Caenorhabditis elegans: one gene and its partners. The protein of the gene in region 3 interacts with the protein of the main gene of each other region in a pairwise test. Each region holds a gene or a part of one and is shown on either strand. Other genes may lie near its edges.

What was found.
Region 1: the proteins of aap-1 (region 3) and bigr-1 interact in a two-hybrid assay, tested with the Caenorhabditis elegans proteins (one large-scale study listed by BioGRID).
Region 2: the proteins of aap-1 (region 3) and mog-5 interact in a two-hybrid assay, tested with the Caenorhabditis elegans proteins (one large-scale study listed by BioGRID).
Region 4: the proteins of aap-1 (region 3) and tsp-10 interact in a two-hybrid assay, tested with the Caenorhabditis elegans proteins (one large-scale study listed by BioGRID).

What each region holds. Positions count from the first base shown.
Region 1 is NC_003280.10:11,178,152-11,185,070, reverse strand, and holds bigr-1 (HAD family phosphatase), read right to left. Parts: upstream 3,418-6,919; 5' UTR 3,411-3,417; coding exon 3,162-3,410; intron 2,568-3,161; coding exon 2,493-2,567; intron 2,445-2,492; coding exon 2,358-2,444; intron 2,311-2,357; coding exon 2,041-2,310; 3' UTR 1,924-2,040; downstream 1-1,923. Other genes in the region: Transcription factor lir-3, read left to right, coding at 265-333, 384-556, 1,002-1,154, 1,218-1,326, 1,375-1,640, 1,828-1,912.
Region 2 is NC_003280.10:5,395,805-5,406,994, forward strand, and holds mog-5 (putative pre-mRNA-splicing factor ATP-dependent RNA helicase mog-5), read left to right. Parts: upstream 1-3,733; 5' UTR 3,734-3,734; coding exon 3,735-3,905; intron 3,906-4,089; coding exon 4,090-4,347; intron 4,348-4,398; coding exon 4,399-5,173; intron 5,174-6,434; coding exon 6,435-7,777; intron 7,778-8,517; coding exon 8,518-9,387; intron 9,388-9,636; coding exon 9,637-9,822; 3' UTR 9,823-10,006; downstream 10,007-11,190. Other genes in the region: fbxl-3 (Putative RNA-binding protein EEED8.10), read right to left, coding at 237-352, 407-617, 660-1,044, 1,095-1,681, 1,747-2,070, 2,119-2,200, 2,258-2,358, 2,412-2,533 and 3 more; clec-141 (C-type lectin domain-containing protein 141), read right to left, coding at 10,015-10,204, 10,685-11,190.
Region 3 is NC_003279.8:5,104,486-5,112,151, forward strand, and holds aap-1 (SH2 domain-containing protein), read left to right. Parts: upstream 1-3,357; 5' UTR 3,358-3,358; coding exon 3,359-3,531; intron 3,532-3,578; coding exon 3,579-3,838; intron 3,839-4,019; coding exon 4,020-4,285; intron 4,286-4,512; coding exon 4,513-4,944; intron 4,945-5,024; coding exon 5,025-5,462; 3' UTR 5,463-5,653; downstream 5,654-7,666. Other genes in the region: chp-1 (Cysteine and histidine-rich domain-containing protein 1), read right to left, coding at 26-306, 351-426; pas-3 (Proteasome subunit alpha type-4), read right to left, coding at 762-1,141, 1,188-1,560; use-1 (Vesicle transport protein USE1), read left to right, coding at 1,808-1,903, 1,955-2,010, 2,061-2,136, 2,396-2,483, 2,528-2,662, 2,711-2,886, 2,936-3,073; Y110A7A.21 (MARVEL domain-containing protein), read right to left, coding at 5,654-5,794, 6,056-6,160, 6,205-6,372, 6,505-6,583, 6,635-6,648; Y110A7A.15 (uncharacterized protein), read right to left, coding at 6,891-7,148, 7,252-7,371.
Region 4 is NC_003280.10:6,715,147-6,722,471, forward strand, and holds tsp-10 (Tetraspanin), read left to right. Parts: upstream 1-3,439; coding exon 3,440-3,496; intron 3,497-3,541; coding exon 3,542-3,625; intron 3,626-3,671; coding exon 3,672-3,806; intron 3,807-3,932; coding exon 3,933-4,066; intron 4,067-4,115; coding exon 4,116-4,185; intron 4,186-4,230; coding exon 4,231-4,341; intron 4,342-4,383; coding exon 4,384-4,467; intron 4,468-4,962; coding exon 4,963-5,031; 3' UTR 5,032-5,123; downstream 5,124-7,325. Other genes in the region: Cuticle collagen dpy-2, read left to right, coding at 1-411, 479-646; T14B4.5 (uncharacterized protein), read left to right, coding at 1,812-1,957, 2,012-2,176, 2,297-2,396, 2,443-2,616; T14B4.8 (ANAPC4_WD40 domain-containing protein), read right to left, coding at 5,281-5,540, 5,653-5,793, 5,844-5,931, 5,980-6,162, 6,439-6,517.

The DNA of each region.
Region 1 (6,919 bases), on a different chromosome or scaffold from region 3:
TGACTGCCCGCATGCTGCTGCCTGCTGGCTGAATTATCTCATCACTATAGGCCACTTATGCTCAGTTTTTTTTCTTTGTTTCTAGAAATTCATTACCGTAGGATTTTAGTAGGAAATTATTTGAGTTTTTTTCAACCTGATTTTTCGCCGAGAATTTAGGAAAATTTGGAAAGAAAGGGAGGATTTTTTTCAAGGTTTTTTTCCTCATATTTCTCCGAATTCTTCCGTGACTTTTAAGATATTGTAACTAATTTTTTTCTCAGAATGGATCCAAAATTTCTCGTAGTAGAAATAGACTCAAAGGAGCGAGCACTTCAGTTGGTTCAAGTTATGGTGGGTTTTTCTAGTGAAAAATAACTAAATTGGAAAAAAAAAAGTTTCAGCTAGAAAATGGATTTGCTCGATTCATGCTGTTGGACGATCTTTCGCGACACCCGACTCTCGACAGAATCCAGAGAGAAGAGCCAAGAATTTCAAGAGATGAACTCCGTGAAACAGCTTCATCTCCTGTCACATTTGAAACTCGACATTCTCCATATCCAGTGCATGAGCAAAAGTAGGTGGTTTTTTTTTAAATATTTTTTATTTAAAAAATGGAAATTTTTGAGATCAAACCTTATATTTCACAAACAATTCAGAAAAATTCACTCTTAAAAGAACCAATAAAAAAGGTTTTATTTTGTCGAAAACTTCTCTTTCGCCAAAAAAAAAATTTCCGAAGCCTCACCTTCTGCCTTTATTTGCTGTATATTCTCTACTAGTCTTTCAAAAAGTTATATCTCGGTTCATTTCAAAGATATCAATAAATAATCAACAGCAAATCTATAGAAAAACATTTAACAAATATTTTGTCAGTCGAAAGTTTTTCAATAAAACAAACGACAACTGAGTTATCAAATTTATCAGTTGGTTGAAATACTATTAGAGGAAATACGGTATAATACTTAGCAGAAAAGTTTTTACAAATAAAATTTGCGACTTTAAGTTCATCAAATTTTCAGAGTTCTATTTCCATCGTTTTCACAAGTTTCGAATTCAATGGTGACATCTACGGGCATCCGACAGGAAGCTTCAAGTGTTGGTGTTGGACCGATTGAAGACGACGATATTGTTGAGGAGGAGGAGGAAGAGGATATTCGACTTACTAGCAAGCCGTGAGTTTATCTACTTTAATAAATCTACTGGACATTCGAGAAATTAAAAAAAAAAGATTTCAGGTGTGTCAAACGCCGTTATGATCATCACGCCGAGGAACAGGAGTATAGAGATCAACTGATGAGCTTGTTGAGTGGAGAACCGGAAATTGTGCCTATAGGTGTCAACTCGGTTAGTAGTTTTTTCTATATTCCAAGACTCACAATTCCTCATTTTCAGAACGACGAACCATCTGGCTCCAACTCGGATTCTGCCGCGAAAAAGGCCAAATCCGTCGGCGACTACCATGAATGTCAGCTCTGTGGAGTTCGAGTCAAAACGCCTAGAAGCGGTCGATGGAATCTCCAAATGCATGTGATTGCTCTTCATTGTGTTGGAAGACAATATAAATGCAAGCAGTGTGATTACTTGGACTATCGAAAATCAACGATGAGAAAACATACGGTTTCGCAGCATGGAAGTGACATTCCGCCGCATAATATTACGTGAGTTTTGGAGTTTTTTCAAATCAAAATTTCAAATATAAATATTTTAAAACAATACCTAAACATCCCCATGCTGCTAGAATCAATACAATTTATTTTAAAAAGGCTTTGAAATATTAATTGAAATGAAATTATTTGTGAACAATTTTTGTAGAAGTTTCAAATTTAAAAAATCATATTTTTCCAGGGACAACATAATGAAAGCTGAATGGCATGCTGCAATGATAAAATGTTTCCCTGAATTTGCTCACAGAACTGGGTTCTTAAACTGATTCATCGCTCTCATCGCCAAATTATTTATTTTTTGATACCATTCCAATTTATTATATTCCTGATAAAAAGTGACAATTTGATAATTATATTGCAGTTATAAAGCGGTTAGATATACATACATCACCAATTAGATCAGCTTAACCTTAGTGAAACCCTCAAGTTCATGAATCGCCTTTTCAATGTCTTCTACTAAAATTGTGTTCCATCCGAGCTTTTCTGCAGCTTCAATGTTTTCATGGAGGTCATCCAAAAACACAATTTCCTCTGGTTTGACTCCGAGTCTTTTCTCAACTAAATGATAAAATCGAGCGTCTGGTTTCATGAGATGCTCCAAACAAGATTCTACAACTTCATCGAAATGTGTCAAATCGCATGGAAGTCTGGTTTCCTTGTGCTCCTGAAAATCATTGAACAAATTTTCAATATTGATAGGAACTCGATTACCTTATCTAAGAACATGTTGTTTGTCAGCATGGCGGTTTTGAAGCCCTTCTTGTGAAGAATTTCCACGGTTTTTTGCATATTTTTGTGCTGAAAATGCTAGGTTCAGGGCAAAGTTTAGAAACATTTTAAGCTTACAATTTTAACATTTTCTCCACGAAGGCACTCGGTGAATGGTTTTATCACAACGTTGTCAGTCAGCTTGTTTCCATACTGAAAGTTTAAAAAGTAAGAAAAAATTTCAAAAACTTTGTTTTGAAAATAAGGAAATTCATGAAACTTGCAATAAATTTGAATTTCAAACTTCCTAAAAATGTAGGAACGATGTTTCAGCTGTATCTTTCTGAAATTTTTTCCAAAAAATAAAGTCGATGGAACGTTCAAGTTTTTTTATAAAAATTGATGGATGTTCAGATTTAAATTCTCCAAAAAATCTTGGGGGAAATTTACATGTATTTTTCGAAAAAAATTGAAATTTCAAAACTTCAGAAAAATTTGGCGCATGTACCAATATGCATATTTTTTTGTGAAAAAATTTAGAACTTGACTCACAAGAAAATTTGCGAGAATTTCAAAATTCAATATTTCAACAGAAATTTTTTTCCCGAGATTCACATTGTAAACTTTTTTAAAAATTTAGGGAACAAAGCAGGAATATCAAAATTCCAGTGTTCAAAAAAAATTCGACGGGAAAATTCAAAATATAATTTTTAAAAAACATTTTTGGCCAAAAAAGTGTTTTACAAAAGTCAAAATTCATTTTTTAAGAGACGCTTAAAAATTCAAAATTGATTAAACCTCGCCTACCTTATGCTTCAAATACTGCAAAAAGAGACCTCCTTCCAAATCGTCGACAGTCAATGTACCCAAGAAAAGACTTCTATCGGGTCCCAACCACTGCGAAAACTCAATTCCGACAGATTCACTGTGTACAGCATCATCAGGAAGTCCAAGTGATCTTGACATGGCAACCCATTTCTCCATAACACCTTCATAAGAGAGTAAAACTCCTCCGAAATCGTAGACAACTGCTTTAATTTGCTGGGTCATAGTCATTTTGAAACTGAAATTGATTTATTATTTTAGGAGAAAAATATTTTAAAAAAACAATTCAAATGAAACGAAAAGTCTTGAAACTGAATACTAAAACAAAAAATGACATCAAAACTGAACGAGTTGGTCTTTAAGCATATTCGGAAGCAGGCAGACGCAGACAAAACGTGCGTTGTCGCTGACTAGATGAGTGTACTTTCATCACTAGAAAATATAAAATACGCCACCGTCGATAATATCAGTTACATATATATCAGCAGAAAACACGAAAATGAACGAAAAAGAGAGAAAAGTTAAAACGGGTTTTGTTCCGATGAACTCTCAAAGATGGTGGGGCAAAGAACAAAATGCTAGTGTGGAGGTCCCCAGGCCCCCATGAAATGTCTTTTTCTTCTCTTTTTTTCTCTTTTCCTCTTCACTATTTCCCTCGCTGGAACTGAACGTTAAGAAATATAAACCTTTGGAGTTTTTAATTCAAAAAAAAAAGGTCAAAACCAAAATGTTCAAAAAGTCAACAAAGATCTCGAACAAAAATATAGTCGACTAGACAGACCCCCCCCCCCCCCCCATGTTTCCATGGTACTGAACTTTTGAACTTTTGAATTGTCCTGAAACTTCTAGAGTGTAGTTTGATTTAGTGAACATAAGACAGAAAATGCATGTCCTATATGAATTAGATGAAGTAATCTATGACCTAGATTTTTATTGTATCAAAAGATCGTAGTGAAAAATATTGAAATATTACACCTTTCTGCAGACGCTTGTCAGTTTTCCACCGCACCTGGGGCTCCATTAATAAATTGGAAATAGAGAAAATTCCGTCTTGTGCATCCCAAAACTACAATGGTTTTGGTCATGTCGGTACAGAACGGGACCGATGGAGATAGGCAGGCGCCTAAATATACCAATAGGCAGCTAAGTGTGTCTGCACAGAAAATACATCTGTAACTATTTTTACTGAACTTTCCACAAATATATCAATTAAAATTTAAAAATGCTACCATATACATACACTGGGGTCTAATGCCAAAATGCAGATGGATTGGCAGGCAGGTAGGCCTAAAGATGTGTGTGCCTACCATATTGCTTTTAACTTGGAAAAGAAGTTGTGAGAAAAAATTGAAATACAAAGTTTTCTGAAAAAAAATTAATAAAACGAAATCATCAGACAAAAAGTGATATTGTGCTCCGACACTACCAAAACTACACAACTTTCGCCTATTTATACTACAATGAATAGTCTACAATCAGGTGGTGATAAATACCACGTTTATTTTTTAAAGTGATGTACATATATTTATAGAAACATGCACAAGTCATACTATATGAACTCTGTTGACTCAACTGGAGGGAATAAGTCACAAAATGTGAAGGGCTGAGCCTAGTTGAACAGAAATTCGGAGGTTTTATAGGGGAGGGGCGTGGCCGTTGGGTTGACAAAGATCGTACGGAAAAACTAAAAAGATTTTGTGATATTTTGTGTTGATACATATGATTCTCTATCATCTCCTTCCAAAATCTGACGGTAATCGGAAGAGATTAAGAGTGGTTCGTTGTACTCGGCCACCCACGCACACATGTTTCATTCATTTCTGTTTAACAGGCTTAGGATTCATTTGAATGGGATTATTGGTATTATAGTTCTTTGAACTAGAACTTGAAAAAGTTCAAAGCGGTTAGTCTGTGCGGTAGTTTCTTAATTGAACATACATACCGTATATCTTCTATTAGTATGGCCTCCCTATTAGACTGGCACTCCCTATTAGTGTTGCACTCCCTAATAGTCTTGCACCTACTTTTTTTTGGTGCGAACCCTCCTTACTAATTTTAAGATTTTAATAACATTTTTTGAATATTTTGCAACAATTTATGAGAAAATTTTTATGAGATTGAAGTTATTGTACCTTTTTGTTGCAATTGCAATCAAATTTTCTATATTTCCAAATTAAAGTTGGAGTTTTTTCAAGTAAATATTAGTAAGCCCCAACACAGAAAAATGTTCTGAAAAATAGTATGGCACTCCCTATTAGTCTTGCACTCCCTAATAGTATTGCAAGCGGGAAGACCTTCGAAAAATAGTATTGCAGCCATATTAATAGAAGAAATACGGTATGTACATACTCGTCACTTTTTTTTAGATTGGAGGTTGTATTGACAATATTTGGTCAAATTGAAATAATAAAAAAGTGCATGTTATCATTACTGAGTTCTGAAAGTTTTGAACAGTAATTATTACAATATTGATGACAATATCGAAAAAAAGTCATCCAATGAAGAGAATACACTTTGAGTGATAGATTTTTTAGATTTAGAACCGGCAACATTTAGCCGAATTTTCCGGAAAAACGGCAATTTGCCGAAGTTCAAAAAAATGAACCCGTAAATCGACACTGGAGCTACGGTGGTCATTGCCTAAAAATGATGCTCTATGCGCATTCTCAGTTTCAGACGACTATTTAATATCTCAGCTGGAATTTACGATAAGGTTAAGAAACAATTTGTTGCGATGTTCAGTGAAAAAAAAACTATGAATGAGTTCTGTCTTATTATTTTGAATCGCTACGGTTTCTTCTCCATTCAGCGCCCCTGTAAAGTTTTTCATAGTTCCAAGAATCGCCATATCAATTATTGTGACCACAGTTCAAAAGATAACTATTTTTTCTTTCGATCAAATTTTTCAGGGACATGCCGCGGCGCCAAAATGGTAGATCAACACAGTTCACCTAAACTCTTGAACACTTCATATTTGCATTTACATTGAATATCTGAATTCCTAATCATGAGATTTTGTAGTCAATATTATAGTATTGGTATAGATGTTTGAAATTTTGCTTTTCATAGTTTTGTTGGTCATCAAATGATACTACTATTTTGACAGTTCACAAAGTCGACCTTCCGCGGAGAGAAATGTTCAATGTCATCACGACAATAGTACATGCTACGTGTATAGTCTAGTCAGACTTTTGTGACCAGAATAGACACATTCTTTGTTTATAATATATTTTAAATAGAGAAGGGGAAATTTGGAAACAATTTTGCACAACGCAAAATACAAATTTAATCATATATTTGAACTATGGGCTTTCTGTAAGAGTGACAACATAGATCGAACGTTTTGGGGAAAAAACTAGAATTAATTGTGATTTTGCAGCTACATTTACTGGGGATCACGAAAATTCGAAAATGTATGTTTTGAAAATTATTTGCAAAAAATTTTAAATCCTAAACTCATAAAACTTCTTTGTAAACTTTGACACGGCAGAACAGTCCTAATGTTTCTGTTAAATTGTTGATTTCATAGCTAAAATTAAACGTGAAGGTATATACGCTTTACTATAAAGGCTTGAAATGTCACTTTTAATTTCTAGGCCACTTTCGGAACTTTTGATGTAGAAGTTTAAATTCATTCATTGTCAGATAAAAAATATATTTTGAAGAAAGTATGCCACCTTCACTTTACTTTAGAGCACAATTGCTGAAAATTATATGTACTCAAAAAGCACAGAGGGACA
Region 2 (11,190 bases), on a different chromosome or scaffold from region 3:
GCATCACTTTTTCTCATAATGTTTAAAATTGAAACAAATATCAAAGAACGGTTGAAAACCCGTAATTTTTTCAAAACGGGTCTCTAAGAAATCGAAAATTTCATTAGACTAGTTACAAAAAAAATGACAAGAAAAATGCTGAAAATGACAAAAAATGTTATTATCAATAAATAAGAACCTATAATTGCAATAAAACGGATGAAATTGTTTCCTTCGTTCGATAAAATTCTGAAGCTTTAATCCTTAATAAGCCCGAGGCTTCTTGCTTCTTTTTCAGCCCATTCCGCCAATTTTCCATCGTCTGTAATTGGTGATTCTTCTTCTCCACAGACAGCATCAATGTAGAAACTTCCTGAAAATTTTTGAATAATAGTTTTTAAAGAACTAAATTAATCTTAAAACATACTTTGTGCGGTCAATGCTTCAAATTCATCATCCGAGCCTTCAGCGTCTGACGCTGATCCTCCAATGGCAAACTTGGATGACGAACATTGGCTTGTCTGCATCGTGACAATCGTGGAATAATCGGAAAAGTCGACGACTACTCTTGATCCTCGAACTGACAACTTTGAAGCATCAGCGGCAGTTCCACCGACAACGAGGGTGATTGGTGGAAGCTAAATTTTATTTTTAATTTTATCCATTTCCTCCTAACGAACCTTTGGTCCTGATGGGAATGCTTTGATAAACTGTTGAATCGAGTCATTTGATACTAAAATTGAACCACTTAGATCCACGTGGCGGATATTTGGCATTCTAAGCTTCGCACGCACACCATCATCACCAAGATATGTGCAATTTCTCAGTTGAATAATTTCCAACTTTTTCAGTGAGCCCAGTTGCTCTAAAACTTTTGAATTGACAGCTGCCAGCGACGATGCATCAAGCTGAGTCAGTTCTTTTAGATTTTTAATCGCTGAAACTCCTTCTGCAGTGATCGACGAATCGTTTCCAGCGTTAGCAAGACTGAGTGATGAAAGAAGCGGTAGACCAGCTGATATTGAGATAAGAAGCTCATCATTAACAAGAGCGTTGTAGTCAAGGCTGAAACATTGATAAATATAATTTTAATCATAGGTTCAGATGGAACTTACGCCAATTCTGTAATATTTCTCATGTGACTAATATGAATCAATCCGGCTGACGTTAAACTTTTGAATCCATCCCCACATAATGTTAAGATTGAAAGATCTTCCATTCTTCTAGCGATCATACTCAGATTCTCATCTGTGATTTTATAGCATTCATTGATCCGTAATTCTTTGAGACCTCCACAACTGGTGCATAAATCTTCAAAAGCCATCTCATCTACTTTTGATGATCCATCCAAATATAAACTTTCCAGTTGTGACCCGAATAATTTGAATGATCGTCCGTGGAGCCGTTTTGAATTTCGTAAATCCACAAATTTAAGTGAATGACCACAGTTTTTAAGTAAAAAGTAGAATGCCTTGTCTCCAGTTGTTTCCATTCCTCTATAAGATAGCTGTTCTAAATGTGAAAGTGATTCTCCAAGTTCTTCGAGAGCTTCAGCCTGAGCATGAGTTCCACTAATATCAAGATCAACTAAATTCGGACAGCATGTTGCGATGACTTTAAGTGCTCGGCGATCATCAAGAAGATGCACAATTCCAGAAACATCAAGTGACCTCAAGTGTGCACCAGCACGAGTAAGAATCGCCTGAAATTTTTTATTTTTTATTAACTTTTTAAAACTAATTTTTTTAAATTTCAGCTCAAACTCATTTTAAGATGACTTGTTCTCATTGGTCGTTGCTTGTTGAATACAGTTTCTCTTGCCAATGCAATTTTATTGACAAGTTCCCAGGATTTAATTGATTCTTCCATGAACTTTTTATTAACTCGTTCCAATCGAATTGTTTCGTGAATTGGTAAAAATGAGATGACCCTTCTAAGAATTTTATCCGGGACGTTTCCCAAATTGAATGATTGCTCGGATCCTGAAGCTAACGACTGTGTAGATGAAGCACGGGACAATGGAGTATCTTCACGACTTCCAACATCATCACTGAGCACGAGACCTTTACCTCCACGTTTTTTCGATACATACTACAAGATAAATTGGTTTAAAAATTAAATCCCAAATCAAAAACTTACAGCTGAGACAACCATAACTTGATCATAAAACTTCAACTCTTCAGGATTCGCATTTTTCGCGCGATCAGCATGCTCAGACTTTCTGCAAAAATTGTATTATTAAAAAGACCTGAACAAACCAAAAAAATTTAAATTATACTTAAAAGTAATAGTAGCAGTTCCACAATTTCTGGAATGCTTTGGAAGTGTTCCGAACACTGATGTCTTTTTCTCTTCGCGAGGCAGAATGCAGCTGGTTATCTGGAAATTTAATTTTAAAATTTTATATTTAAATGATAATTAAAACAACACACTTTTCCATATTGAGAAAAGAAGGATTGAAGCTGTGATTGGGTGACTTTAGCAGAAATATTCGAAACCACGATTTTTCGATCATCACGAGAAGTATGTTGGAAAGCGATAGATGCATCGAAATCTGAAAAAAAAAACAATTATTGATTTTTTTTCCAAATTTTAAGATTTATTACCGTCTGTTTCTCCTCCATCAAATGCATCTCCATCGGCGAGTAACATTGGTAAAAGTCGTCGATATTTCATAAACTCTGCGGCAGAGTGGGACCAAGTTCGCCTGAAAATATTTTAATTTTAATTTAGAAAAAACCAGAGCTAAAATGTTGATATTACCTCAATTTTCCAATACTGAAAAACCGTGCCCTTGTGACAAATGACTGAAATGCTTCAGTCATATCATGAAGCCCTCGGCTCTCCAAGTTCTGTCCATGAAGCCGGCGGAGTGCTTTGAACATACTCTGAAAAATTGAAAATGTGTGAAAAAAACGTTTTTTCGAGAGAAAAGATAACAGAACCATATGATTTGATTTGGCTACTGTTCCCTAGTGTTTTCTTATCACATTAACATTTATTTGGTAGACAAAAAATCGAATTGTGTTCTCTAACCTGTTGTGATTTAGCACTTCCAGCGCTCCCGAGGTTCGATGTGAAGCTTCGATTGAAATCCATTTTTTAGGTTTAACTGTTTTCTGAAATTGAAACATTAATAATAAATTTGAAAACAATTTTGATCGATTTTCACTAGTCGTTGTTCGGAGGAGGAATGGCGCATGTTTACCAGTGAGTCGGGTTAGAGATTATACGGAAGTGAAGAGACGCAGAAAACGGGACATTCGGATGCTTGGGGACACATTGGTCACTATGAAACGTTCAAAAGCACCAATTCAAAGAAAATCTAGAAAATTTGCAGTTTTTGAACAGCTTTTAAATTTAAAATCATGCTTTAAAAGACCTTGTTTTTTGTTAACTTTGAAGGCAAAGGGTATTTGCAATAACGATTTTACATTAACACAAACTTATATATCCATTTTTGGAAATACTAAAATAAATTCAAAAAAACACAATGAAACATATTTACAAACGAAATGAAAGCCGGCAGCTTCAATAAAATAAAAAATAATTGTTGAAAAAATATAATTAAAGAAAGCTGCACACTGTGCGGCACAATTGCGAAAAAGCGGGCCGCAGTTTGCATGAAAGACCACGCCCACTATTTTAGATTTCGAATTTGTTTTTTTACTCTAATTTTCTATTGTTCGAGTTTTTCGGAATTAAAACTGCTTTAAAGAATTATTTTATTAAATTTTTTATCTGTAAATTTCAGGATGGACCAGCTTGAGCACCTCTCACTTGTGAGCAAGGTCCTCAGTGAAGTTGAGAACCATTTTGGTGTCGTCGAAAAAGATGTCGCTGAGTTTGTTATTCATTTGGCTCAAGAGAATCCAACATTTGATAAACTGAAAAAGGCTTTGGATAGTCAGGGACTTGGGGATCAGGTATGTTGAAATATGAGAAAATTTAACGACTAAATTATTTTTTTAAAGGAAATTTCAAAATTATTTTAATTCAAGGTGTTTTAAAATATTTTGATGAATATCAAATATCGAGATTTAAAAAAAACATTATTCGTCTCATAAATATAAAAGTCTCGATATTCCTCTCTTTAATTCTAAATTTCAGTTTGATGATTCCCTCACTGCGACCATACTTCGTATAGTACAAAGCATGACTGCTGTTAAAAAGAAAAACAAGAAAGGTGGTGATTCAAAAGAAGATATCAAGGATTCACACAAAATTACATTGATTTCTGATGCAAAAGAAGAAATTAAAGCACGACTTCCAGCTCTAGCGATGGCAAATACTGCGAAAGAAAAGGAAGATAATGAAGATGATCTTATGGCTCAGTTAGAAAAGATGGAAGGCCGATATGAAAGTGAGGTACGTATCTTTGATATTTGAAATTTGTTAAAATAAATTTTCCATTTACAGAAACGTCTTCAAAAGGAATCAGATTCAAAACGAAACCGTTCAAGAAGTCGATCAAGGAGTCGTGATCGAAAACGAAGAAGAAGTCGTAGTGGTGACAGGGATCGTCGGAGACGTAGTAGGAGTCGTGAAGACAGAAGAGATCGAGATAGGAGGGATCGGGACAGAGACAGAGACAGAGGACGTGGGGATCGAAGAGGAGACGACAGACAAAGAGATCGGCGTGATCGACGAGATGATGGTGGTGCTAGAAAATCCGAAGTTGCAGAAATCGGAAAAATCTACGATGGTCGTGTAAACAGTATTCAATCGTTCGGAGCTTTCATCACACTGGAAGGTTTCCGTCAAAAACAAGAAGGACTTGTTCACATCTCCCAAATTCGAAATGAACGAGTTCAAACCGTCGCAGATGTTTTGAAAAGAGGAGAAAATGTCAAAGTTAAAGTTAATAAGATTGAAAATGGAAAAATCTCGTTGTCAATGAAAGAAGTCGATCAGAATAGTGGAGAAGATTTGAATCCACGCGAGACCGACCTGAATCCGGATGCAATCGGAGTTCGTCCACGGACACCGCCAGCATCAACTTCCTCGTGGATGAATCCTGAAGCAAGTGGAGTAGGACAAGGTCCTTCGACCTCAATTGGTGGTGGAAAGGCGAGAGTTCGAATTTCGACACCTGAACGGTGGGAATTAAGACAAATGCAAGGAGCCGGAGTTCTCACAGCCACAGATATGCCTGATTTTGATGAAGAAATGGGAGTTCTAAGAAATTATGATGGTGAGTATTTTATTTATGATCTAGTAATTAATGATAAATTTGAAAAAAAAATTATTTTCTCTTGAAAATCACTAAATTATTTTTGAATTCCGCGCAAATGGTGCTTTATTTTGCTTACCGTATTTCCTCTATTAGTCTTGCACCCCTACGGGTCAATCTAAAATTAGTCTTGCAGCCTCTATTAGTATTGCATGCAAGACTAATAGAGAACATACGGTATTAGTCTTGCACCCCTATTCTTGCCAGACCAGCAGTATTTTGTGAAAACTTCAACAATTTCGCCATTTTATAGCTAAATTAAATTTTAAAGTGTTAAAATAATTGATAAAACAATAGAAAAGTATGTATTTTGCATGATTTAGACTGTTTCAAGTCAAATTTGTGACGATAAATGGCCAATTGAACAAATCTATCGGGTCTTCGAAAATTAGTCTTGCAGCCTCTAATAGTCTTGCAGTCTCTATTAGTCTTGCACCCCTACGGGTCAATCGAAAATTAGTCTTGCATGCAAGACTAATAGAGGAAATACGGTATATGATTTTTTAAAAATAATTTATATTTAAAAAAAAAACTGCAAAATTTTTTTAATTGAAAACAATTTCAATTTCTCTTGAAAATGACTAAAAATGATGTTTTACAGACATTTTTCCTTAAAAATTGACAGTAATTTATCGTTTTTAAGCCGATTTTTTATTTTCAACAAAATTTAAATTTGGTTTTCTTTACTGAAAAATGCCAAAGTATGACAAAAGATGCATCGGAGAATAAATATCGAATTTAGCCTGAAAAATGCGAATACTTTACAATTACGGCAATAATTTTCCCGGGAATTCAAATAAAATTAAAAATTAAGCAAGATTGAAAAAAAAACATGAAAAAAATGATGGTATAAAATTTATGATTTAATAATTTATCAAGAAAAATTGTAAAATTTTTTGAATTAAAACAAATTAATTTTTCCTGAAAATGACTAAATTGTTTTTGAATTCGCGCACGCAGACATTTTTCCTCAAAAATCGACACTAATTTATCGTTTTTAAGACGATTTTTTAGTTTCAACAGACAAGCCAAAATATGACAAAAGTTGCATATATCAAAGGAAAAATTTCGAATTTAGCAGGAAAATGCGAAAAATTACAAGGAAATGATTTTCCCGATAATTCAAAGACAATTTTTAAAAAAGCTAAATTTAAAAAAAAATCATTAAATATTTAAAATAAAGTTTCTATCATTTAAAGCACAACAATTTTTCAATTTTCAGATGAAAGTGATGGCGAGGATATTGAAATCGAGCTTGTCGAAGACGAACCTGACTTTTTACGTGGATATGGAAAAGGCGGTGCAGAAATAGAACCTGTAAAAGTTGTCAAAAATCCGGATGGTTCATTAGCTCAAGCAGCTTTAATGCAAGGTGCTCTTTCAAAAGAACGAAAAGAAACGAAAATTCAAGCACAACGAGAGCGTGATATGGATACACAGAAAGGATTCAGTTCAAATGCTCGAATTCTTGATCCTATGTCTGGAAATCAGTCGACTGCGTGGAGTGCTGATGAGTCAAAGGATCGGAATAATAAAATGAAAGAAATGCCAGAATGGTTGAAACATGTGACAGCTGGTGGAAAAGCGACTTATGGAAGAAGAACCAATTTGAGTATGGTTGAGCAGAGAGAAAGTCTTCCGATCTTTGCGTTGAAAAAGAATCTGATGGAAGCAATGATTGATAATCAAATTCTTGTCGTTGTTGGAGAAACTGGATCAGGAAAGACTACTCAGATGACACAATATGCAATTGAAGCTGGACTTGGAAGACGTGGTAAAATTGGATGTACCCAGCCTCGTCGTGTTGCAGCAATGTCCGTAGCAAAGCGTGTGGCAGAAGAGTACGGTTGTAAGCTGGGAACTGATGTTGGATATACAATTCGTTTCGAAGATTGTACAAGTCAAGATACTATTATCAAGTACATGACGGATGGTATGCTTCTGAGAGAATGTCTTATTGATCCTGATCTTTCTGGATATTCGTTGATTATGCTTGATGAGGCTCACGAACGTACAATTCATACGGATGTCTTGTTTGGATTATTGAAAGCTGCTGCTAGAAAACGTCCGGAACTGAAGCTGATTATCACTAGTGCCACCTTGGATTCAGTTAAATTTTCAGAGTATTTCCTGGAAGCTCCGATCTTTACAATTCCTGGAAGAACATTCCCCGTTGAGATCCTGTACACAAGAGAACCAGAATCAGATTACCTTGAAGCTGCACATATTACTGTAATGCAAATTCATTTGACTGAGCCACCTGGTGATGTTCTTGTGTTTTTGACTGGACAAGAAGAAATTGATACATCGTGTGAAGTTTTATATGAACGAATGAAATCAATGGGACCTGATGTGCCGGAGCTGATTATTCTTCCTGTCTACGGAGCTCTTCCAAGTGAAATGCAAACAAGAATCTTTGATCCAGCTCCTGCCGGAAAGCGAAAAGTTGTTATTGCTACGAATATTGCCGAAACTTCTTTGACAATTGATGGAATTTTCTATGTCGTTGATCCAGGATTTGTGAAACAGAAGATTTACAATCCGAAAAGTGGAATGGATTCCTTGGTAAGCATTTATGCACCCGTCAGGGATTTCACGAAAAAATTCGACCAAAAAACAAGACAAAAAACGAAAAAAAAATTTCAAAAAACACGAAAAGCGGCTAAAAAAACGAAAAAAAAAATCAATTTTTACCAGAAAGTTCAAAAACCAGGAGAACAAGTTTTTTCGAAGACGAAAAACGAAAAAATAATATTTTGCCAAAAACAAAAAAAACTCGGATTTCTTTTTAAAAAAAACTTTTTTTTTTTGGTTTTTGTCTTAAAAAAAACGAAGAAAAAAATCCATTTTTACCAGAGAGACCAAAAACAAGAAAAAAAATTTTGTTCGAAGCGAAACAATTTATTTCGCCAAAAACAGGAAAAAACTGAAATTTTATATTTTTGAAATGTTTGAAACGAAAATTCTTATTATTTCAAGAATAAATATTTGTAGAGTTATATTTAATTTTGAGTGTAATGTTTTGTGAAAAAAAGTGGAATAAATATTTTTTCGCCTTTTTTTAACAAATTTTTTTTCGAAAAAGTGAATCATACATTTTTCGCCTTTTTTCATAAATTTTGATTCGAAAAAAAAGTGAAAAAAAAATGTTTTCACCAGAAACTGAAAATGATGCAATAAAATTCAATATTGTTTGCAATTAGACGAATTAAAATTATTAGCTACTCAAAATAAGATAATTTTTTTCGAGATATTAAAAAACAATTTTCTGATAAATAAGAACGAAAATACAATATAAATTTCAGGTTGTCACCCCAATCTCACAAGCCGCAGCAAAGCAACGATCAGGACGTGCAGGACGTACGGGACCTGGAAAATGCTATCGTCTCTACACAGAACGTGCATTCCGTGATGAGATGCTTCCGACACCTGTTCCAGAAATTCAGCGAACAAATTTGGCGTCAACACTTCTTCAGCTTAAAGCTATGGGAATCAATAATTTGATTGATTTTGATTTCATGGATGCTCCACCTCTGGATTCAATGATTACTGCTCTCAATACACTTCACACGCTTTCAGCACTTGATGGAGATGGTCTTCTCACGAAACTTGGTCGTCGAATGGCTGAATTTCCATTGGAACCATCACTTTCCAAATTGTTGATCATGTCTGTCGATCTGGGATGCTCAGAAGAAGTTCTTACGATTGTGGCAATGCTCAATGTGCAAAACATTTTCTATCGACCTAAAGAAAAACAGGATCATGCTGACCAGAAGAAGGCGAAATTCCATCAACCAGAAGGAGATCATTTGACACTTCTAGCGGTTTACAATTCATGGAAAAACCATCATTTCTCACAACCATGGTGTTTCGAAAATTTCATTCAAGTGAGAAGTATGAAGAGAGCTCAGGACATTCGTAAGCAATTACTCGGAATCATGGATCGTCATAAACTTCTGATGGTCAGTTGTGGACGGGATGTATCGAGAGTTCAGAAGGCTATTTGCTCTGGATTCTTCCGAAATGCTGCAAAACGTGATCCACAGGAAGGATATCGAACATTGACTGATGGACAGAATGTTTATATTCATCCATCATCAGCATGTTTCCAACAACAACCAGAATGGGTTGTATATCATGAACTCGTCATGACAACTAAGGAATATATGAGAGAAGTAAGTTTATTTCAATTTTATATACGGAAAAGTACTGTAGGCGGAAAACACAAAAATGTCGAAACTAGGCCATTATGCTCCCTTTTGAAATATTTTCAAAATTTGAAAAAAAAATACAAAGTTTAGAGAAATTATATACATTTTTAAAATTCATATTTGGCATATGGAGACTTTATTCTTTCATTTAGGGCCAAAAACTATTTAAGTCTAAATAAGAAATTAAATAAAAACCTAATTTTCAATTTCCAGGTCACCGCAATCGATCCAAAATGGCTTGTTGAATTTGCACCGTCATTCTTCAAAATCGGAGATTCTACCAAATTATCAACATTCAAACGAAACCAGAAAATCGATCCGTTGTTCGACAAGTATGCAGATGCAAATGCCTGGCGTATCACACGTGTCAAGAAGAGGATATACAATCCCAACAAATAATCAGTCTCCTGTGTTTCTTATCGTTTTTTTATTTTTTAATATTTAAGTTATTCATTTTTGCTTCTTTTTCTGATGTCAGTTCTTTGTTTTCTGTCTGTAGAGTAAATACGAGTACACTTGTTTTGTTTTTGAATAACCTCATTTATTATCATTTAAACATTCAAAATATACCATCATTAGAATTAGAAGTGTTTAGGATGGGAGGACTCCGCAAAGAGCACCGAAGTTCCAGTAGGCGGTGTTGGTTGGCTCATTTGGAGCCTTGTCCATGTTGCAGTAGATATCGTTGAATTTATTGTTACGGTTGAGCATATTGTATGGATTATCCCCTGGTCCTGTGAGCGCTGGGTAGACGGTAAATTGTATACATTGTTCGATGTCACTGGAAAATCAATTGATAAATCACAATTTCTCTAAGCCTTTTTTTGGGAGAAAAAGTTGAAAAGAGGGGCCAGCTGGCCTAGTTTCTCACTTTCAAAGTTTTTGGCAATTTGCCAAAAAATTTGAAAATATTCAAAGCAATGTCGCATGTTCCGACACTTAGAATGTTTTAACACGAATAACTAAACTAAAATTAAAGTATAAAAATGTAGGAAAAATAATTTTTTTGGTCGCCTTCCAAATTTATGAGCAGCAAAAAAAGCTTGACACCGTGTGCTTCAAGTTATATACCGCATATTCGACTTTGACAGCTAATAATCTCGTGATTTTTTGTTTTTGTAGAAAAACTTTAACTGAGAACATATTTTTAAATCTTTTTCTATACTTAATGTTTTTGAATTGTCTTAATATCTTCAAAAACATTCGAGAGCCGCACTAATAGAGATTTTATTTATTGTTGCACATTTTTGAATAAACTTACTATGTCCAAGCATTTGCAGATGGCTCATTTGTAGCCCATTTAGACCAAGTAAAACCTGGTGAGGTATGCTTATCAACCATTACGAATGAATTTGTACCATTGCATTCCTCACTGTCAAGAATTCCTCGATCTCTTGAAACACATGCTGCAATACGTCTTCCGTCGACAGCAATAGCGCCACGAGTTGCCGGTCCAACACGATCGAACTGTTGTGCCATTTGTAAAGAGAACACATTGAGCTCCTCCTCGTTGGCGAAGGTAGTTACAACTGCTTCAGTGTTAGAAGCCTGGCAAAGAGCAGATGCATTATTGATCGGCATTGGTTGTCTTGGGGACCATATCAATTGCATGCACCATTCAGAAGTGAACGAGTTGTCAGCAGCAGGAGTACGAAGGAAGCTTGTGTATCCTTGTGGACAAACTTTTACCTTGGTAGTTGTTGGTTCAGGTGTGGTGGTCGTGGTGGTGGTGGTGGTTGTGGTAGGAGTTGTAGTGGTGGTAGTAGT
Region 3 (7,666 bases):
AAAAATTTAATTTAAAAATACAAACATTCAAATTTTGCTCAATTCTCTTTGTCGCATCCTTGCTATCCAATTTTCCAGATTTATTGAGCCCTTTCCAAACAATAACATCTTCTTCTTTCTCTGGTCGAATTTCCTTTACCGCGGCAACTTTTACAATATCGACTGGTTTTTCATTGCTGTGTTTTCCACGCGTACATCCTTTATAATTCATCCATGTACCGAAATCAGTACTTTTCTTATCACAACATGTCCAAATCTTGTATGCATCATGGAAATACGGACCCCCAGGGTGATATGTACAAGCTTCTGAAAAATTAAACTGATTTTTTTTATTTTCCAATTAATCTTACCGTTGTCATTCTCCTTGGGATCGAAAAGGAGACCGCATCCTTTATGATAGCACTGCAGTTTACTTTCGTCAACCATCTAAAAATGCAAAAGCGATTTTTTTTCTGAAGATTTCGGCTTAATAATCCAGTTTTCCCCCAAATGCTCGAGAAAATTCGAGACTCCGCCCATTGCAATGTTGCGGCACACTCCTTCTTTTTTCCAGCACTCTCGCTTGACCAAATAATCAAAGATTTGCACGGACAACAACAAGGTGAATTAAAGAAAGCAAAATTTAAAAATACAAATATTTAATTTTCACCGACGTTTGAGATAGGAATATGGGTGATAAGAAATAAAACCAGACAATAAATTAAACGGGTGGGAGGATGGTTTACAATACAGTCTTGAAAGATTATTTCAAAGGCAATAGATTACTTCTTCTCAGCAGTCTCAGCTTCCTTTTCTTTCTTCTCGTGCTCAGCAATCAGAGCATCGACTTCCTTGGTGGTGAGCTCTTCGAGCACAGTCTTTCCATCACGACGAGTCAAAACAGCCATCTCAACTTTCTCGGAAGCGAGCTTCACATCCAAAGTCTTCCAGAGAACCTTGATAGCCAACTGCTTTGCTTCTTCAAGATTTGGGGATTTGTACTCCTGTTTCAACAAGGTTACGGCAGCCTGGTGGTTGCTTCCGATGCAGGTTGCCTTCCATCCAGTGTAGTTTCCGGAAGGATCAGATTGGTAAAGTTGATATCCGTAGTGCTTATCCCATCCGATATAGAGAAGTGACACTCCGAACGGTCTCTTTCCTCCTGAAAATCATATTAATAGAAATCAAGAGAGAAGTTATCAACAAACCAATCTGCGTGTATCTCTGCTTTTCATTGCAAAGATTCTGGACGAGCTGCTCAACTGGCATTTCCTCTCCGTAACTGTTACGATAGCTGGCAGCCCACCATCTCAAGTGGTTGATGAGGATGTTCGCGTCGGCGGTGATACCAGCGACAGTGCACGAGATGTTGTCCGAAAGACGGTAGACCTTTTCAGTCATGACAGAATCATCCAGCAACTTGTGAACGTTCTTTCTCTCAGCAGCAACGACGATTCCTTCCGATGAGAGAATGCCGAGGCAAGTTCCAGCATGGCTGATAGCCTCCATAGCATATTCGACTTGATACAGTCTTCCCTCCGGAGAGAAGATGGTCGTTCTACTATCGTAACGACGGGCCATTCTCTGAAAATATAAAGATAATCTAGACAAATATGATTTTAAAATATAAACGGCAGAAACCTATAGAAAAATTACATAAAACAAGAAGAATCTCTCAGTCCTCGACAAAAAGGATGACTTGAAAATTTTTTCGCGCATGAGCGCATTTGCATTTTTGTATTTCTCGGCCGTGGCCGAACTTATTTGTTTTCAAGTTGTCAACGTTTATTTTTATTTTTTTATCTAATTTTGTCAAAACATCAATGAAATGGCGTATATTTCTGAAAATGAGCTGAAATTTCTACGACTTCTCGAGCGAACAAAGCGCTTGACAAAAGAGGATATGTCAGCAAACGTTTGGAAAGCAAGTATCACATTTTAAGTTCTGTTTAATTAATTATTTTTCTTATTTCAGGTTTCTGCAGCTACAAAGATTCTCAATAAAATGATTTATACACTTCAAAACGATGAGTGAGTTTTTCAAAATACATTTTTTAATATTTATAGTTTTACTTTTCCAGAACCACAAATGATATTCTCCACGAGTACCGACAGGAAGTCTTGCAACTGAAATTACTCGCTGAAGCTGAAAGCAAGGTTTGTAGATATTTTAGACAAGCAAATTCGATCTTGTAATTTTGCTTTAAAGATACAAATTTTTACATAATTTCTAAACTTAATTTGAATTTGTTTGATTTGTTTCAATTAAAAATTTAATCCTAAAATATTATGCAAATGTTCCGTAGATTTTATGTCCCTCTTTTCAATTTAGATTTAAGTAAAGAAAACAAGTTGAACAGCTTTAAATATTTTGTGAATTTCGCAACTGTTATGAAATTGTCAGTAAGTTTTCCAGTCGTCAGCCGAGGAGCGCCTGAAAGTGATTGAAAAAATTCCACGTGTATTTCCCGATGTCCAAGTAACTGTTGCAGACTCCAAGAATGGTTTTTGAATTATTCAATATTTCATTTTAATGTTTATATTGCAGATAACGAGGCGGAAAGTTACGATTTTGAAAAAGAATCCGCAGCTGGACTCCGAGCTACTCAACGATCCATCTATCGATCAGATCTTCGGAAGCAGTTGCTTTCATCTAATAAACATAGAGCACAAGACACATCTGGTAAAAATTAGTATCCAATGATTGTTCAAAATTCGTCAAATTTTATAGAAGATCAGGAATTCATGAAAAATGAGCTTGTCGAGGAGGAGCTAGCAAATAGTTTGGCCACTATGGCGAGATCATTCAAAACGATGATGTCGGCTGCTGGAGATGTGATTAAAGAAGATACAGAAAGAGCAATATTAATGGCGAAAGAAGTCGATGATAATAAAACAGCTCTCGGGGTAATTTCTTCACTATATAAACTTCAAATAATAGTCTTAAAATTTCCAGATTCAAAGTGAGCGAGTTGAGCGTCACGCCTACAAATGTGGTTATGACTGTTTCAAGGTCATGCTCATTGTTCTGATTTTTATGAGCTTCGTATCAATGGTTCTTATGATGAAAATTTTCAAAAAAGCGAGCACTTAATAGTCGGGACGAATTGCTAGTATTTATGGGTGTAAATATTTCAAATAAAATTATTTAATTATTTGCATTCTTCGAATTTTTTTTCTCGTTGATATTTCCATTGGTCTACAGACCATGTTATACATACTTTTTTTGTTGGTTTTTTTTGGTGTTTTCACAAATTTCAATGCTTTGCTTTTTGGTCTCGGCTTGGTCTTGTGCCAGATTTAGTCTACTTCGGCAAAAACACCACAGATTCTTCTCCTCCGTTAATTATATATATATATATATATATAAGGATTCAGAATGAGCACAACACCTGGAACTCCTCATGGAGTCACTCATAGTCTTATGGAACAAGGATGGTACTGGGCTGATGCTGATAGATCTGCAGTTTCGAAAGCACTTTCTGATCAACCTGATGGATCATTTATTGTGAGAAATGCTAGTACACCTGGAGATTATACACTTTCTGTGAAGTGGGTTTTTCAAAATTAGTATTCAATATTAATAGTCCTTTTTTCAGATTTGCCGCCCAAGTGAAACTTCTCCGAATCGTTGTTAAAGATGGAAAATGCGGATTCAATACAGATTCATTAACTCACGATTCTGTTGTCAGATTAATTGAATTTCATCGAAATATTTCTCTCAATATTTTCAATGATGCACTTGATGTTCGTCTTTTATATCCAGTTTCTGTTCGTCGTAACTCTCAAAATGGAAAACCATTTTTCAAGAAGGGGCAACTTCAGCAGCGTATGATTCTCAGTGCAAAAAATGATCATGGTAAATTATTTTATAACGCAAACGCTAAATTTAAAAATACTGTAATTTCAAACTTTAATTGCTGCGGAATTTCTCTTGTCGTTTCAAGACCTCGTACCATATTTTTATCGCGAAAGTGGCAAAATTTCGCGTCTGAGTGATTGAAAAAAATAAAAATTAGTAAATTTAATGCTTTTTTTAGATTGGAGAGAACGCTTGGAAATGGAAAATTTGAGAGCAGTACATTTGGCATTTGAGAGAGGAGCCAAGCTATATGATTCAGCTCATCAAGAAATGGAACGAGCTGAAAGTCTCTATCATGCTTTGAATCAATCAGTTCGGGACAATGAGATTAAACTTGGAAAACTGAATAATTTGTTAGAAGCTGAAACAGACGTCGTTACACAAATACAGGGATCGCAGACAACAAGTGAAATGCTCAAAGGAGCATTTGCAAATAATAAGACAGTAAGCGTTTTTTGAAGAAAAAAAACATCCAAAACCAAAAAAAAACAATTCTAAAGCAAAAAAAAGAAGTTCAATTTAAAATTGTTATTTAGCCAAAACTCAATATTTTCAAAGCTGGATTATTAATTTTTGCTCAATTTTTTTCTCGGTTTTTTAAAAATGATTTTAGAGCAAATCCTCAATTTTTAACCATTATAGTTTTGAATTTTATCTTTTTTATTTTGCAGTTTGTGGAAGAAAGTATTCGACGAATAAACACTGAACTGACGTCATCAAAGGATAAGAAAAAGACGCTCTCCGGAATTTTGGATGAAATCGCGATGAAAAGATCCAATTCAAAAACACGACTCTGCAAGCTTATGGAACTTCGTAGTGCAGTCTATGATAAAATGGAACCAGCACTTTGTTCGAGAATGGCTGCAATGCTTGATGCTGGAGCGGAAATGATAAACAGTGAGCCAACGAAAGTCACTCAACTTCTTGTCGATATGGAATTGAAGTGGACACCGGCACAATATTTGATGTGTGGAACTTCTAAGGAAAATGCTGCGAATGCTCTGATTCATGCTCGCTATCGGATCGCTCAACTTGACAAGGCTGTTGGATTGAAAAGAGAGCCACAAGATGGTATTTTCTTGATTCGAGGATCCTCTTCTCATGTTAGTTTATGATTTTATCAGAAGAATAACTTTTCATCCTCATTCACGCTAATTTTTGAATTGAATTGAATATTTTTCAGGGTGATAAGCTCGTATTGAGTGTACTTCACGGAGAACGTGTCTCACATTGTCTAATCGAACAAAACGAAGAAGGATGGGGATTCGAGCACAGCAATGTCTACCTGACAACTATAAGTGACTTCGTTCGCTATTACTCTCACTTCAGTCTTGAAACCCACGCGGATGCTATCAAAACTCCACTTCGTACGCCCGCATTTGACGCTGTCACAAGTGATACTTCAAAACCTCTTCGTAACGGACCCGGACAAGTTTTTACGGCTTTGCCAATATCCAGGAAATATATGGAGAAGGCTCTTCTCACTGATGATCCCACTAAGCCACCTGAATCACCGGAACCAAGACCGGATTCATGGGATTCTCCATCTCCGGATACTCCTTCATCATCTGATTCCCGATTGGTTCATCCAACTACTCTTCCTAAATCCATCCCGGAATAGTTATATATTTAAATCAATTACTTACATATACTCGGTTCAATTACATCCACTTGTCCCCCATCCGATCTGATAGTAAACCCACAGTTCTCTGATCACTTTCTTCTAAGTTACTTACGTTTTATTTGTGTCTTAAATGTATTTATTATCAGTATTTATATGAATTGTCAAATTGTACATTTATTGATATAAATTCAAATCCGTCGGCGGTTCATCCGCGTATTAAATCGCACAACATTCTCCTCCTGTTTAACAGTAATATGACCTTTCGTTTGGTTTTTCATCACATGTAACAGACTGAGAAGAAACGAGACTGTCACCAAAGCGCAGACAACCTGAAATTGATTTTCTTTCGCGCTCCACGGCAATTTGAAAACGCTCCGCCCCCAAACCATGGGTCTCGTTAGGTATTTGGAGGCGAATCCGTACATTCAAATGTTTTTATTTTCATTTTTGCTTATTTCGCCAAAGTGGCGGAATTAAGTCAAAAAGTTTGAATTTACGGTTTTGCCGACAAATATCTAACGAGACCCATGGTTTGGGGGCGGGCGTTGTCAATTGCCGTGGAGCGCGTTTTCACATTTTGCATAACATACCGTTGCCAGCCACCAGGCCGTATTATTCCATCGAATCGAACTGTACAACATGGTCAGTGTATTGATTGTGAACAAAAATGAGAATGATGAAATGAAGACGCTTTCCTGTAGAAAACTCGAAAAAAATAAATAATTCAATATATTCTTACCCAAAAAACCCATTCATCTGGTTCAGTCTCATTAATATTAAAAACATCGCACAACAAAAATACAGATGATCCGATTATTGCGAAGACGCATGTCAAAAGAGCAGCATATGTTGGAGCAAACTGTGAGCCAACAAGTCCAATGAGCACAAGGGATACGAAGCTTCCAAACTAGAATTCCATGCTAATTTTAAGTTTTTGGTTTCTTGCACAAAACATATATATATATATATTAAAAATACGTTCATTACTAAACTAAAACTATTCAACAACAACAGATAAAAAGTACTTGAAATAACTCACAATTTGAAAAATCTGTAGAGCAGAGGAATACTTTGCAAATTTCCAGACCTCAAATTTAGGTTTTGGAAATGCAGATTTTCTGAAAGTTATGGATAAAAAACATTAAAAGAATCGAAACTCAAATGTTCACCTCGATGGATGCATGGGGAAAGAGTGTCTAGAAATGAGAGTTGTTGACTCAATAAAAACTGATAAGAAATTATGAGTCAATATTATATTGATTTAATAGGGAGAGCTTATTATAGGGGGGAGGTAGTTTATGAATGTTGAAGAATTATTTGAATAAAAAAATTGAACAGAAAGAGAACAATTATAAAAAAAACGTCGGGTAGAAAGTGAAATGAAATGCTGGTTCAAACGAGAACATCCAGAAAAATCGACAAAACTCAAAATTGTGAACGTTTGAATTCACCTCGACGAGCATTTGCTTGATAAAATCCTTGCGTGGGACGTCTTTCAGCTTTCGGTGGCAACCATTTCTGAATTTCGTCGATCGACTCCATCTTCACCCAGTGAAGCTTCTGTTCCGCGTTCACATCGAGGATAATTACTTGGCCTTTACTGTTTACATGGAATGAAGACATATAGGGAAGAGGAAAATCACTGGAGATACGATGCAGGAAACTGTAGTCAGTGTCGAACAGCTGAAACATTTAAAAATATTCTAAATTTAAATTTTTTATTTTAAACCAAAAAAAATCTAAAAATTTTCCATATACTTGAAAAACTTTTTTTGAAAATTCTAACCTTGATCGAATGACCTTTTGCATCTCCAATGAGAAGATAGCCATTTTGGTCGAATTGCATTCCGGAGACGAATCGGAATCCAGTTTCATTGGCGAGCTGATCTATCGGCAGATCAGGTGACTGAAAATTGTGTCATTGAAATAATATATTAATACCAAAAAAAAGTGCATATTGTCTTAAGCTACAGTAATACCACACCATACCATCTCTCTAATATTTTTCAAAAACCAAAAATTCAATTTTTAACTACAGTATCCCGAAATAATTACTTCAAAAGCCAAACACGTTTTTCCTTGAATACGCATATAGTCAAGGGTGTTGGTTTTTCGATATTTCACAAAAATTGAACATTCTTAAATAAAATTATATGTTTTCTCAAGTTCTTTCTCATCGATATAAACAAAAATTGAATTTG
Region 4 (7,325 bases), on a different chromosome or scaffold from region 3:
GGAGAGTATGGAATTGGAGGAAGACCAGGATCCGATGGAATGCCAGGGAAACCAGGAGATCCAGGACTCGCAGGACCAATTGGACCACCAGGAGAATCTGGACCAATTGGAGATAAGGGAAGAACACCAGAAGCACATGTTATTCCAGGACCACCTGGAGATTCTGGATTACCAGGACCATGGGGACCACCAGGATCAGCTGGTATGCCTGGAGAAGATGGATACGCAGGAACACCTGGAGAGAAGGGATGGCCAGGACCGCCAGGAGCACCAGGACCAGGTGGAATGCCTGGACCAAATGGTCCAACTGGAGAACAAGGACCTTCTGGTACTCCTGGTACTTGTGTTTGCCAAGATACTGAAGTAGTTATGAATGATGAAAAGGGACGTGTTCCAGCTCCACGTGATAATGTAAGTTAATGTTTGAACTGTATTTTTAAACTTAATCAGAAAAACCAAACTATACTAAAAATTTCAGGTTGCTCCGGGAGCCACGGGTGGATCATATGAACCACAAGGAGGAAATGATGCAGCTGCTCCATCAGCAATTTCTCAGAGTCAAAACGACGGATACGGAAATGGTGAATCAGTCAGTAATCATAAGAATAATGGAGGATATTATCACTTGCGTAAATTCACACAATAGTTGATTCTCTCTGCATCCTTTTTTGACCGTACCTCATTATGATCTAGCCCGATTTCGGCAGTTGCTAAACTAAGGGTTTTCTCTTTAATTTTCTTCGTTGTTTCTTTCCAAAAATTCAAACATTCCACAGTTGTTTATGACCATCTAATAAGTGTAATTATTAATAAATCTTACATGATAAAAGTGCATACAAATTAAATAAAAACTACGAACTCATAAATCAAAGCGGCGCGGCGACGTCCGTAACTGTTTCGGAGATATCGGTCATGTACTACATCTTTTCAAACGAGATAGAAAGGAAAATAGCAATTAAACTCGAAACATGTGGCCACAACGTCTACTTTAAATTGTTACTGTAGAGGTTTTTGTCCCCTCGGGGACTGGGCCGCCCAGCAGCAGTGAAATGCCAGGACGACCCTTGGGAAGTCGGAGAAAGCCCCGAGTCTTCCCTAGGTTCCAAAAATCATATAACCTTTATTACGCCCATTCGACTGTATACCGTAGGTTAGTACGATGAGAACAGACTACACTTTGATATTAGCTAATAAGCCGAAGAAGCGATACTGTTGAATGAAGACCGGAGGAGCAACGTTTGTGCATCTTTTTTTTCTGTGTACAAACCGAGTGATTGGATTGGACTTTATATATCGTGAAATTGATCAACATCATAAAATAATATCAAAACTAGAGTTGTGTACAATTGTATTGTGCAGGTTTTTAATATTTTAATTACGTTTAATATTAGAAATATCAAAACTTATAAAGTCGCAGTAAGGTTGGGATGCCTCCAGATGTTATAACTTTTAAGGAATAAAATCATGGTTAACAAATAATGTTTCAGAATATAAAATCAAATGTTACATTTTTAGTATGCAATAAAGTTTTTTTAACCAACTTGTAAATTCACTCTTTTTAGGTTTTTTTTTTAAATTAGAAGTTTGGAGATCGTCGCTGTTTCTAGTTTAATTTATTTTCCAACAAATCTTTTCCTTTCTTCTGTCGATATCTAATTCTCTCAAATCGACCGTCTTTTCTATGTCAAGGCCGCCCGTTCAATGCCTATGTCTCTCAATTTCCTATATTCTTTCTCCTCACACTGTCCATTTCCATGGTCTCCGAATTCGGACTGAAGTCGAGCATTTCTTAGTAACTTTAGCTTTAAAACATGGCGCTCCCACGTATTTTGGAGCCCGAAGAAGACGGAATTGTTGGACCATTTGAGCAAAAAGTTAGACATTTATTATCACTAACATTCCGATTTATTTTGGCAGTTTTTACGGCTTCCCATCTATTTGATTTTATGTTTTCCAGGTTAGTTATTATTTTCAGTTTGTGCTTTTTTTATTCATATTTTAATATTTCAAGCATATGGATGCATGGATATGTATGGACATTAAATCTTCCAATCGATTTGGATATGACTGATAAACCAGCTGGAGCACTTGTAAAGCATCAATTGGATAACATGGGTCATTTAGAAAGAACTATTCAATCTGTTCTTATTGTTTTGGCAGTTGTTATGGTCTTATTGTAAGTTTTTTAAAAAATATTTTGCGTATTTCTTTTATTAGATTTGCAGAAAAAAATGGGGAAAACATTTAAAATAATTTTTAGCTGAAAATCTAATACATGTAATTTTATTATTTTCAGAGCTCAAGGATTCACACAAAAACCTGGGAAAACCACGTGGCAATTGTTCAATACGTCCGCTGTTGTTGGCTTGATTTGCGGATTCATCAGGCCAGTTCAGGTAGATCTCTATAACAAAAAATATTTTAATACAACTGAATTTATAGATGCAACAAAGATTATTCTCTAGTCTGCACGAAGGATTTTATTGCTATTTTATGTTCTTTATCATCTCATTCATTTTGACAGTTCGATTTGATGAGAAACTACCGAAAAAGAATGCATTGGTTGAAAATCCATCAAAGGAAGAAGAAGCTGAAGTAGAAAAGAAGAATAATTGAAAATAATTTTGAAATGTAGTATTTATTGAGCGTTCGGGTATCAATATTATGATGGTAATAAAATTTACGAAATTTTATCAGAATGAATAAACGCGCACGTAATTTTTGTCGGTTCACAGAAAAACATTGTTCCCCGCTTCTTCATTCAAAAGTATCGATTCCTCGGCTTATTAGCTATTAGTAAGATAAAAGTGTAGTTCATGTATTAATCTAAGTTTATATGATGTTTGGAACACGGCGAAGACTCAGGGGTTGCTACGACTTCTCAAGCGTCGTCCTGGCGTTGCACTGCTACCGGGCTCGGCCCAGTCTCCGAGTGGACAACATAATTTGCAACAGCAGTACATTGACAGGACTGCAAAATGCACTGTAGTTTCACCAGAAAATTACGACTTTACCAATTACGACTTTACCTTGTAATGGTAAAGTTCCGTATTGGCACATGGTTGTCAATAAATTTGGGTATCATGAATATTTACAACGTACAGTTGCGGAAATTATGAAAGGCTGTAAAATATTGCAATGATCATTTATCTCATAATTCAAATTCTTCGAGTTTTCAAAGTTTCTTCTCAACAACTCCGGTTTCGGGATGCAACGTGACTTTCAATCGTTGACCGGAGTGCATGTTGACTCTCCGGCAGTTACTATCAGTCCGCGACGGCCATTAAAATATGTTTAATGTCGAGATTTAATAACCTCAATTCGACGTGTTTTACGTATCACTTATCACTGTCTTTCTTGCAGCTTCTTGTCTTTTCATTCAATTATTAGCACTAATTAACTTTTTTTTTCTAGGGGGTTAAATCCAGAAACCCAAGAAATGGTGGAACTCAACAATCAGGATAAAGTATTTCTAGGTGCATCCCTTGCAACCGCAGTAAGTTTCTGACATTGAAATAGATATTGAAAATAAATTTTTTAGATCATCGGTATTGCACTTATTGTAATTGGTTTTTTATTCCGATTTGGCGGTGGATTTGGGACATTTTCCACGTATGCCCAACAGGTACAGTAATCCAATTCCTCTTTCATCTCAGTTCTAATGTTTACAGGATAATGATTTCTTAGAGTTGAAACGTCTAGATATGATTTTTGGATTGTTCGTTGCTGCTGCCTGTGTGCTTGTTATTTCCTTCCTCGTAGCAACTGTATCCGTTCTCCGACACAATTCGTTTTTGCTGAAAGCCGTAGGTTTTTCAATTCATGATTCATGATGATTGTCTGGTCAAGAATGTGAATAATGAAATCTGAAACAAATGTTTTATCCTTTATCCATTTATCCATTAATCTACAACTATGCATCATGTTTCCAGTACTGTGCAATGGTTGCTCTTATGATTGTGGTTCAACTAGTTGATGGTCTTCTAGCTTTTACATATTCTGATCAAGTAAATCAATTGGCTTCTGACGATTTTATGTACGAATCATTGTCGAAAGCTGCTCAAAAGTATGATTTCAGGCAATATCCCTCTAAAGTTGACAATTAATTTTTACAGAACCATCCCACCAATTGGATCACTTTCCTCTGACGCCGAAGTTCAGTTTTGGGCAAATACTCAAGATTTAGTAAGCTTTATGATGTATCTTATATTGAGAAAGTATTAATTTCAGTTTGGTTGTTGTGGAGTTTACAATTCCACGGATTGGTCAGTGTTTTGGGGAGTAACTGGAACTAACAACGACTTGCAAGCATTGCATTGTTATCCACAACATTTTAATGATGTAAATTCTAAAGAAAATTCGATTAATATTCAAATATTTTAGGGTTGCGAGAAAACTATCAGAAATAAAATTTCGTCGAATGCTCAATACCTCGGAGCAGCTTCCATGGGAGTTTTGGTAGTTGAGGTGAGTGTATTTGGTAACATTTGAAATGTTTGTGTATATCGTAAAACACGAATTTTATGAGAAAAAAGAGCACGAGATCAAACCTATTATTTGATAGTTTATGGTGTTTAGCGGACACCTCATAAAATTTCATATAAAGATAAGGGAAATCGAATAAAGAAATGATGCCGGCCATCAACCTGGCGAATGACACTGGAAAAGTTTGGGAAAGTAACCAATTGTTATAATTTCACAAAATCATTTAAAAAAATACCACTTTCATAACTTCCGACTCTTCCCGCACTCTAGCGAGCTGTACACGATTTGTTATTCTGGTTTCTCCAGTCCCCGAGGGGACAAAAAACATTCACACTACCAAGCAATTAAAAGTTGACAATGTATAACTTTCTTTTATGCTGGAACTGAATTTTCTTCAGTATCACACCAAACGAATTAACGTTAACTGTTTACTAATTTATATTTTCAATTTTGATTTACTAAAATGTTCTTTTTCAGATAATTGCGAGTTTCTTGGCCGGATATCGTGCATACACATTGGCTCATCCAGAATTCGAAGACAAATAATTTATTAAATTTTTATTTCGGTTTATTTATCAGTTTTGTACATTTCTTTTTATAATTTGGCAATTAGAACAAATTCAATTTTACACAAAAGATTCTTGGTGATAGTTTCGATTATCAGACAAATAAGGCGATCTCAGAATCAAAGGTTCCATGGAATCAGATGATGTTGAAAAGGAAAAACAACGACATTTTCGGAAAATTTTGAAATTTGTACAACGAAAGTTGCAAAACAGTGAATATTGTAATTTCTTATCGAAAGAAAGGAAAACAAGATGGAGATGTTCGAGTGACAACAGCTCTGCTTAATGTACAAATAAGAAGAAGTTTAAGTGGAAGAGCAATGTCAGATGAAAATGATAAATGTCCATCAGCTGTTAGAACTGCCAGTTGTCGTTGAGAGTTCTTTTCACAAACGACTCGCCACGTGGATCCTCCAGATGGATCAGGCTCGTTGAAGGCTTTTGCAATGGGCTCGTGGCGAGTATCTTGAACTTCTATTCCATCGCTTGCTGAAAATTGAGATTTTAGAATAATTTTGTAAGAGCTGCAGAGCTTCCACTGTTTTAAGTTGTTACGCATACACAAAATTTTCAATAAATTTAATAATTTTTAAATTCTTACCAAGTGCATAATATCCTAGAACTTCTCCATTCCAATCAATTATTGAAAAAGTTGGTACAGTCCGCCTGGGTCGCAGAAATGGAATAAAGAATGAGAGAATTGATCGAGGAGCTGTGTCTGTTACAACTGCTACTCGTCGACCTGAAAACCAATTATTAATTCTAAAAGTTTACAAAATTAATATATTTTACCGTAAGATTCAATAATCCAAAAAGGAGCTTCATCACAAACATTTTCCGACCAAATATCTAAAAGTGGAAAGTCTGATGGATCAGTTACCTGTAAATTATAAATATTATAAAATATCAAAAAAATAAAGAATCCTACTTGTAATTCAGATCCTTGATGATTTAATCGTAAATGTGTTGAAGTGGACACGTAGAATAAAACCTGTGATTTTGATGGAACAATTACTTGTTTACAAGAATGTGATAATTCTTCTTCGATATCAGTATCTCCGTCGTTTATATCTACAGCTGTTTCAAGACGATCAGGTTGTGATGAGCCCGGCTGAAAATTAGACGATTATCTAATTTGAGATTTATTGATTGATGTATGATATTGGAAATGTTCAATTACAGTACTCTTCGAAGGAACACGACTTTTTCATTTAACGAAATTTTGTCGTGTCGAGACCGGATACCGTATTATTGGAACAAAACTGGCAAAACTTTGCTCCGGAGTAATTTTCAAGTTTAAATTTTGACGCATTAAAAAATGGTTCGCAGATTCCAAAGTTCATTCACGTATTGTTCATAAAATTTCTGACGATAAATTATTTCAAACCTGGACAACTGTGACGTGGCCATTTCCTTGTGTCATTTCGTAGGGGTACCGTGAACAAGATGGAAATCCGTTTGTCGACCTGAAATAAACGAAACTATAGTAGAGTACACCCGTGTTCTATCTGTTTGCCACTTTTTCAACTGGCAGCACTTAAGTGTCTCTACGAGTGTCAAATTTCGGCGGAGAGATGGCCGAGCGGTCCAAGGCGCTGGTTTAAGGCAACCAGTAGCTTCGGGGGCGTGGGTTCGAATCCCACTCTCTTCAGTTTCTTTTTTTTTCAATTGACAAAAAATTGAAATTTCCCAACTTTTGAAACTGGACAATGAAACAAAATTCGTACAAAAAGAAATGAAATGTGTTTCAGATAGAGAAAAGGAAGAAGCTCATTGTTGTTGTTTTGACATCTACCACAACATCTTCCTCTTTTTCATCGTTGTCACCGTGTTTCTCCGGAATTCAATTAAAATAAAGCGTTTCTGGACGTCTTCTAGTTTCAAAACTCTTTTCAAAAAAGTCATTCACTAGTTCTTCCTAATGAAGAAAGAGCAAAATTTGTCTTTTTCTACGGAACCAGGATCAGGGGGATTCGAAAAGTTAATTAAACGATGGTGAAATGGGCAAAAAAGGGTCTTTAAAGAATAATTAGGAGGTCAAGGTTTCCATTTTTGTTGATATTTTGGAATAACGAAGAAGTATTTCATCAAACAAGAAAAAGTGATAGAAGTAATAATAATAATAACAGTAGAAATATCGGATTACAATCATAAAATATTTATGAATCAAGAGGATCTCATGGGTGGGAAGGGAGTGAATAAAATTGAAAATTCTACGTGTTTTCATAAGAAGCTGACATTTTTTTCATTTCTAAACGCATTTGGCAAGTTACA